Linked DNA regions of Drosophila melanogaster. The protein of the gene in region 1 interacts with the protein of each later gene in a pairwise test. Each region holds a gene or a part of one and is shown in the gene's direction. Other genes may lie near its edges. The genes, in order: eIF2Bdelta and CG10139.

What was found.
Region 2: the proteins of eIF2Bdelta (region 1) and CG10139 interact in a two-hybrid assay, tested with the Drosophila melanogaster proteins (one large-scale study listed by BioGRID).

Annotation. Positions count from the first base shown.
Region 1 is NT_033778.4:23,384,513-23,389,820, forward strand, and holds eIF2Bdelta (eukaryotic translation initiation factor 2B subunit delta), read left to right. Parts: upstream 1-2,008; 5' UTR 2,009-2,110; intron 2,111-2,277; 5' UTR 2,278-2,285; coding exon 2,286-2,315; intron 2,316-2,391; exon of another isoform or gene 2,392-2,494; coding exon 2,495-3,100; intron 3,101-3,159; coding exon 3,160-3,720; intron 3,721-3,776; coding exon 3,777-4,460; 3' UTR 4,461-4,540; downstream 4,541-5,308. Other genes in the region: CG30414 (uncharacterized protein), read right to left, coding at 1-134, 190-437, 493-535, 601-814; roh (reduction of Rh1), read right to left, coding at 1,466-1,533, 1,605-1,785; Mtmr6 (myotubularin related protein 6), read right to left, coding at 5,009-5,146, 5,207-5,308.
Region 2 is NT_033778.4:14,643,164-14,646,773, forward strand, and holds CG10139 (uncharacterized protein), read left to right. Parts: upstream 1-2,106; 5' UTR 2,107-2,192; coding exon 2,193-2,393; intron 2,394-2,450; coding exon 2,451-2,924; 3' UTR 2,925-2,988; downstream 2,989-3,610.

The DNA of each region.
Region 1 (5,308 bases):
GGTGTTGTACACAGTGGCCCTCTGGAGCCTCCGGCTGGGCGTGCCATCGTTGGTGACACCCCAGCCGGTGATGTTGAAGATGGGACTTTCCGCCATGTGTCCCTCGACCAGGAGACAGATCGGCCGGACGTAGTCTGAAAGATATGTCCACTGCTTAGGGAGCCCTGGCTGCTGGATCCACCTCATTACCTGAGTACTGGACGAAGCTCTTCATGCGCAACAGGCCGATGTCGTTGTCCAAGTTTAGGTTATAATCCGCATGCAAAATCTTTCTATCCACAGCGAGTTCATATGACTTGGGCACGCAGCAATCCTTGCCAGGAAAGCGGGTGTCATACTCGCCCAAGCGTATTCTCCTGAGTTTATATGACTTGGGCACGCAGCGCGAGCAATCCTTGCCAGGAAAGCGGGTTTTATACTCGCCCAAGCGTACTCTCCTGTGGAAATGGGAATTCGTAAGTGTTCGCCGAAAGACAGTGCTGCCTCACTTACATGTGTGTACTAACGATGCAATGGGCGGCCGTGAGAACGAAGCCTGAAAGTATTAGCAGCAGGTGACTGGACAAAGAACTCATTCGTGGGCCACATTTGAATACTTACGACTGGTGATTAGCGAGCCACCACATAGTTTCTCGCCTAGCACCTTCACCATCCATGGATTTGAGAATAGGCCTGCGTCTGCGCCCCCGGTGATCATTGGGATAAATTCTGGTTTTGTCGTGCCACAACTGGAGTCTAGCAGGTGACCAGGTGCTCCTTCACCCAACTGGATGGAGCAGACCAGAAGAGCTAATCCAGCTGCGATGAACTTCATCTTTTCGCGGTAATGGAGCGACTGGCAAGCTTAGTCGAGTTTGAGGTAATTTTTGAGGAATTTTATGTTGACCAGCTGATAACAGTACACTCTTTATGACCGTCAACGGAAACGGATATGATAGGAATCAGTGTTTTGTTTTAATGAGTGCTCTCAGTACTTTTTTATTTTTATTTTATTTACGAATCTGGGGAAATTCCAACTCACTACCAAAAATTAGACCCCTGTGATGCTTTGTCTTGCGCCAACTACTTATACAAATTTGAACTTGAATATTTTTCCTGCTTAGCTTCTCGATTAACCCTTCGAAATGCAGTTATCTGGGTAAACGAATATTCATCGCGATCAGTTGTGGAATATAATTTAATCTATTCTTTAATAAATCCAATTAAATGCTGCTAGTTATGAATTTTAATAGTAACAAGCAACTTAATTTGTGTTTCATATAACAAATCATTAGTGTGACCGAACTCAACTCATAGGTGGTGTCATAGCCGCATAATAAGACCGTATTTGGATGTTGCAGTGCACTCTCCAATAAGAATCAAGTTTAACCTCGTTTCAAATCATTTATTCGCCGATTTCACGTTGGGTCCGACACAAACAGCTCTGAAATGTTGATGCGACAATTAAGACTAAGTTACTGGCCGCCTAGTGGTGCTCGGCGTGCTCCTTGGCCTGCGATTCGGCCCATGCCTTCTTGTTCTCGGGCGAGTTGGCTGAAAATGGGCAGGAGGGAGAAGTGCATTAGTACAAGGGGCCCAGAGGTCGCGAGGCGAGTGTTACGCACCCAGCTTGCTGATCTTGTAGAACACGGGCACGCAGGCCACGGCCGCAATGAAGTAGTAGCGCCAGATCCATTGGTTCTTGATGTAGTGCTTGATGGGGAATTGGGCTATCTTCGCGGAGAAAGTGTATGGGTAGCGCATGGGGCGTCCAGCGGGTTTCTCGGCAGCAGCTTTGTCGGCCATGGTAGTCGTGGAATTCGCAGCTGTGGAGGGTCGAATTAAACGAAATCAATTTACGCAAAAATTATGTAATTTTCGGAGGCGGCAGACGAACATACGAACCTCACAAATAAAAGACAGCTATGGGAATGCCAACTCGTGCGGCGAGGAAAGCACCAAAAATGACACTGGCTGCTAGCGAGTCTGGCAAGGCCGGCCATGTGTTTACCGCGGCGAATCAAGACGGTTATCGATTCACTTACATCGCTATCAACTGGTGGACGTTTTTTTGCCATCGTGAGCAAAACTTTCGAGTTACTTTTCCCGAATAATAATATAGAATCGTAAGGTAAAGACAGCAAGCACACTGCTTAGGTGCTATAAGCCAGCATTCGTGCTTACCCATAGACGCAGGATTCAGCTTGGATCTTAATTGCACCGCCACAGGAGTCTGAACCTTTTTTAACCTTTTCACATCCTTTTTCACCTTAATTGCCATGTCTCTCTCTTTTCAAGCTTTCAAAATGGTTTTAACTAGCGAACAGGTGCCACAGGTAGCTAGCTTGCCTCTTAGTAACTAATTTGCCAAGTAGCGAGTTTCCCAAATTTAGTTTTGATTTAGCATGTCGGCCGATTTGATTTCGTATTTGATCCAAACAGTTTGATAGTTTTACATATTGTTACATCAATAACTAATTCCGTACTCCCTATCTGGACTGGGACTGACGCCCAGACTTTGAAGAGCAAGCACAAGAAGCAAAGGCAACGCAATCGACCGCGCAACAAACGAAATCGCCTGGAAGACAGCCATTCAACGACACAAGAAACATCAGCCATCGACGCCACGAGTGCAATGCCCGGAAATGCTGTGGATCCATTGGCCACGGAGAAGACTCGTGACCAGATAATGGCCGAGCGGGAGGCGAAGAAGCTGGCTAAGCAGGCCAAGAAACAGAAAACTGCACCGACTCCTACTGCCGCCACTCCTGCTGTTCTGACCACTCCCTCTGCTCCGGCCACCAAAATCATCACTGAAGTGGAGCAGACCACCATTACCACTAAGCTGACGACCACCACCACAACAAAGGTGCAGGATGCAGTGGCTTCAAAGACGACTCAGCCAGCTGCGGTAAATGGCAAGGATGCGGAGGCGGGTGAAAAGACACGCGAGCAGATCAAGGCGGAACGCGAGGCCAAGAAGGCAGCCAAGAAAGCTGGCAAAGGCGGGGGAGCCAAGGTAGAGGGCATCGCACAACAGCTCGCTGACCTGAAAGTAGCAGAAAAAGCTCCAGTCGCAGCCAGTGCTGCACCTTCGACAACAGAAGCGGACCAGGAAAAGGTAACTTGCTACATTTATGATTTCCTTGCTTCATATACATCTCACCTCACCTTGCACAGAAAAAGCCAGCTCTTAGCAAAGCGGAGCGTCGCGCTATCCAAGAAGCCCAACGGGCAGCCAAGGCCCAGGTACAGACTAAAAAGGCCCAGCATGCAGCCAAGGCACCACCCAGCGCAGCTCCCAAAGGGCCGAACCGGAAGAGCGTTTCCCCCACCACAGCGGCCACCAGCAGTTCCCCCGTCAAATGTCCAGCCAGCACGCCCAATGTAGACTGCCGGGTGAAGCTGTTCAACCATCTGGTGTGCGCCAAGGAAGACAGCCAGTTCATCAACGATCCACTCGTTCATCCGAGCATTGCGCGCTTGGGTGTTCAGTACGCCAAGCGCACGGTGGTGGGGTCCAATGCTCGATGCATTGCCTTCCTGCACGCCCTGCGCCAGGTTGTCCACGACTTTGAGACGCCCGCCAAGAAGGAGTTTGGTCGCAGCCTGGACGCCGCCGTGAAGCACCACGTAGACCACCTGCACAAGTGCCGACCGCTGGCCGTGTCCGTGTCCAATGCGTACAAACAATTCAAGAACCAACTGACACAGCTGCCGGCGGATGTTCCCGAAACGGAGGTAAGAATCAAAATATATTTTTTTAACTCAATTGGTAACATGCATTTGCTCAACAGTCGAAGGAGCTGCTCGTCCACTTCATCGATACTTACATTGAAAATCAAATCGGCAAGGCGGCCCAAGCGATCAGCGGTTTTCTGCAGGAAAAGATCACCGATGGCGACGTGCTGCTGACCTTCGCCTGTTCCTCCCTCATTCAGTTCATCTGCGAGGAGGCCAAGCGGCGCCAGGTGGCCTTCCGCGTGATTGTCGTCGATTCGCGACCCGGATGCGAAGGCCAGGAGCTGCTGCGCCGACTGCACGCCACCGGAATCCCGTGCACCTACGTGCTGATCAACGCCGTGGGCTATGTGATGGCGGAGGCCACGAAGGTGCTGCTGGGAGCACACGCCCTGCTGGCCAACGGATACGTGATGGCGCGAACGGGCACCGCCCAGGTGGCCCTGGTGGCCAATGCCCACAACGTGCCGGTGCTCGTGTGCTGCGAGACGCACAAGTTCAGCGAGCGCTTCCAGACGGACGCCATCGTCTACAACGAGCTGAGCGATCCCAACCAACTGGTGCGCGGCGACAAGTGCCAGCTAAGCAACTGGGCGGCCAAGGGAAAGCTGTTGCCGCTCAACCTGAGCTACGACATTACTCCGCCGGAGCTGGTGAGTGCCGTGGTCACCGAGGTGGCCATCCTGCCCTGCACCAGTGTTCCCGTCATACTCCGCATCAAGCCAGACATTGGCTACTAATCAGACTTCATCGATCGCTCAGTAGAACTCGCAGTTGTTGAATAAATAAGTTTTATTACACTTTGATCAAATCGACAAACAAGATTGATGCGTAGTTCATAATTTACGGGTATGCTAGTGGAATATGCTTGATGCCAGGGACCGCTGCTGCGAAGGAGGGCTAGGCCCAAGTGTCTGTACATCCGGCAGACCGCCGAGTTCCTCGGAAATTATAAATATTTTGATCAAGAGCAAGTCTGCGCTCTGACATGCAATTGTACTTTCCGTGCGGGTGGGGCTGGGATTAGCAAATATGTAGCTCTAGATTCTAATAACAAAATACAGTTTTGTGCCCGGCTTATAGACTAGGACGATGCCTGGAAGCCAATCGCTGGTGGATTGATTTGGTTTTGCTCTTTTGATTTCCATTTGCAACAACTTGAATGAGCTTCTACAAGCAGCTAAGTCTACAAATGCAACAATAAATACACACAATAAATTTAATAGCGTTTCCATATCGATTGCACACCCTAGCTCCGCTCCATTCCTCGATCCTGCCTGCCTTGCCTCTACGGGCTTTGCTTTTGCATTTGCCGGAAGCAGCCCCGGCACACCGGCACCGGCTTTCCACTGTCGTGTCCTGGCAGAGCCACGTTCTTGTCTATGCAGCGCTCGCAGAAGATGTCCCCGCAGCGCCAGCAGTGAGTCTATTCGAGGATTGGATCATCATCAGTGGCAGGCTTGCTTAAGTACGCGGAGTTACCCACCTTTTTGCTGAACTGATCGAAGGGCGTGGAGCAGGAGCAGGTGGTTACGTTGCGCATGGGCTTCCAGTCTACGGCCACGGAGTTGATCTCCTCGGGCAGCGC
Region 2 (3,610 bases), 8.7 Mb from region 1:
TAAAACCAATTTATATTTATGAAATTTCGTAAATTGGCAATGTCATAAAACGCACACACTCACGCAGACTTCCAGGCACTTGTGCCCTCAGGTCGTATTCGCAACATTTCCCATTTAGCGTGACATGCTTTCCCTTCTCCATTTCCCATTTTCCGCTCACCCATTCCAAAAGCCCCGGCATTTCGCATTTCGCATTTCCCAGTTGCCATTTGTGGCCCGCTGCCCTGTTATGTGGTAATTAAAATGACTCTTGGCCCATCTCCGACGCGTTTTTGGACAGCTTTTTACTGCCACTCAGCCGATGCGTCGTATATGCGTAATGTCTGGCTAAATTATTAATTTACTATGGCCCCGAACGAGTGTTGTTAATTAATTTGTATGCAAATGCCGGAAAATCGAGACTGGGTGGTGCTTGAGCCGGAACGAGTGGCTGATCCGCTTCAATGAATCGCTTCAAATGCTGACCAGCAAATCCCATTACCATTGAGTGGATGACGATGGTTGTGGTTTATTAATTGATACGAAATAATTATGGTTAGGTAGGTGAGAAGTTGGTCTGAAATGATCTGCGGATGGTTTTTATCTATTTGTTTGTCTCGCGACTTCATTGTGGACGGCAGTCCACTTAGTGACGAAGGGCACCAGTTAAATGTCTCTGCTGGTGACTCACGTTTTCATCTCTTGTAGGTTTATTACAATCCCAAACCTTCGAAGCTAATATTTTCAACATCCTGAATGCAAGGTGCACACTAAGCTGTACTGCGGTTAGTCTGTACGCTTTTACCTTTGCTGGATTGTTTGCACTGCGGCAACGGGGCGTGTGATTAATTTTAGCCGGAATAGCCGACAAAAACCCTTTCATTCATTCCGCTCCTTTGTCACAATAAAATTGGGGAGAAGGGTAGGGCAAACAAGAGCATATAATAAAAACAGTAAACATTTAATTGCCTGACAAATATTTGCCCTTCGCCCCAGCACCAAAAAAGGGGTTTAGGGCCAAGTTTCGAGAGCTCGACAAATAGGCGCTGATGAAAAACTTTAATAGTAAAACTTCCCCATTCGGCTTATGCTTTCATTTCTCCTTCTTCTTCTCCCATTTCTCCGCCTTTTCCCCCCAACTTTTCTCTTATGCATTATCGGCATACGCTGCTCATATAACTTTGCTCGTCGGCTGCCGTTGAAAGTTTTGCGCAGCTTGACAAAATTTTCAGAGCTATGCGATGGTCGCTATATATGCAAAAATCTTAAGCGAAGTATCGATTTTGCCGCCGGCTAAAAATTATTTACAAACGAATGAACTTTTAAAGGAGCCAACTCCAATTGAGTGGGTTGTCTGCGGTTCAGTTTTGTTTGTCTGCCAGCTCGAGAGTCCTTTGCCAATGCCCGGAAGCCCTACTACAAAGGACATCGCATGGCGGGTGAATTCTCCCTAATAAAATAAAAAAAAGGCACACAATATTTGGTAGGAATTGAAAGAATGCAAAATGAAAAAAAAATGGTTCAAAAAACCGGTGTCCCGTATTCTTAAATTTTTGTATAAAATTAAGATTATAAAGATTATTCGATTATTTTGATTTTTTAACTATACTACTACTTGAATTAAATTATTCAAAAAAACATTTGATCGCGGCTTATCGATAAGCTGATTACTGTGCTATCGATAGGTCATGATCAGTAAGTAGCTGCACACGATAGCAAGAATTCATCTAGAGATGACAATGTGGCCAGATCAGCTAATTTATTGGTAATATCTAGCTAAATTCGAGCCATTAGATAAATTTAATATTCGCCTGTTCACTAAAAATATTCCTAATATATTAGTGAAATAAAACAAAACAAAAAATGTACCAATATATATATCAAATTAATAATGCAATTAATAATTATTATATTGTATATAATAAAATTGTAAATAAATATCGTACTCATGCTATTATTGAACCTGGCTATCTATAAGCGTCACGAAAAGCACACAGGCGCACTGTGGCGTTTTAGCTTTTTTAAAGCTTTCTTCGCCCTGCGTAAGACAGCTTTTTTTCTGTACAGCTAGAAACAGCTTTTTTGCTGCCAGCAAACTGGCAACACTGGCGGCAGGCGTCACTACTCTCATTGTTATTGTCATCACTATTGCATTGACATTGTTGCTGTACGTCGTGTTTTAATTAATTTCCATTGCGCTTTTTTGTCGAATTATGAAAATTTACAAGCAGAAACTGCGCGATGTGTGGCTGCAAATGGAGGAGTTTCGTGCGTGGCTGCGGCGTGATCCGGACGACTCCTACCGGGCGCACTGCCGCTTCTGCAAATGCTGCGTAAACACCAAAATAAGCGATCTGCGTGCACATGCGTCGACCAAGAAGCATATGAAGCACTTAAACCTTAAACAGCAAATCGTAAGTGTGCACAGTTTGTCATCAATCCCGCCTAATTTGGATCTATCACCTTTCCAGAAAACCACAGACGACAGCCCCTTAAACAGGTCATCCGCCAGCAGCTCCAGCACCACTCCCTACAAGGTCAAGGTGAAGTCGCAGCCAAAAACTTCCCCGGTAAAAAAGGAAAAAATCAGTGCATCGGATCAGTCCGTCGACTACGAGGAAATCATTGAGAACCTGGCACTTTACGAACCAGAGCAGGTCATGTTCTCATCGTGCTCCCTGACCGGCGGCGGCGAGCAAAGGCTAGAGGACGACGTTGAAGGCGAGGGCGAGATGTCCACCATCAGCATTATGGACGAGGAAATGGTCAACAAGGCAGTGGCCAATGCTCTGCGCACCCAGAAGGACAGCTCCCAGATCTTCGGAGACTTTGTGGCCGACCGGCTACGACAGTTGAACACCGACGCCTCCGAGTTTGCCAAGGACAAGATAATGAAGGTGATATTGGAGGCAGCGTCCATCGATCGGGCTCCCACTTATAATTAAAATATTAGTTTTTAGTATTGACTATAGTTTGAATAAAACATGAACTGTACAATTATGATTAATTAAATATGCAACATTTTTGCTAACCTGGGAGGCTTACTTCTATTCGAAATTTGTAAGGAAAAAAAATTGTAAATTTGTAAAAAAAAATCATTTTATTATTTAGTAAATTTTGGATACATTTTTATTATTACTTTGAAACACCTTAATTTTGTATTATTAGTAAATATTTTTAAAGAGAACCAACTGCACTATGTATAAATGGTTCTTCATTTTGAATAAAAATTTATTTCAGAACTTTTCGTTTTTAAAAAGTTCTATACAAAAAATGTAGTAAATTATTTTGAGATTATTAATTATAATTTTCAAAAAAATGTTGCACCATAGAACATGGATTTTTTTCGAAATTCATATCATGTATTTAACATAAAATATTTTGAAGGAAACTAAAGCAGGCGCAAAAGGGGGCACGCAGATAAATTGCTAAAACTTTTGCTCGGCAAGTTCATTGGCCATGCATTAGTTATTTAACAATTCAGCATTTTACCCTTTACGCTTTAAGCATTAATCTCGCTGGCATTCTGCTTTTAGCCCATTTTTTTTTTGTTGCGGATCAAAGTTTTACTAGAAAGTAATTTAAACTTTTGCTTTTACCCGGCGAGTGGCTGGTTAGATTTTTACATTTT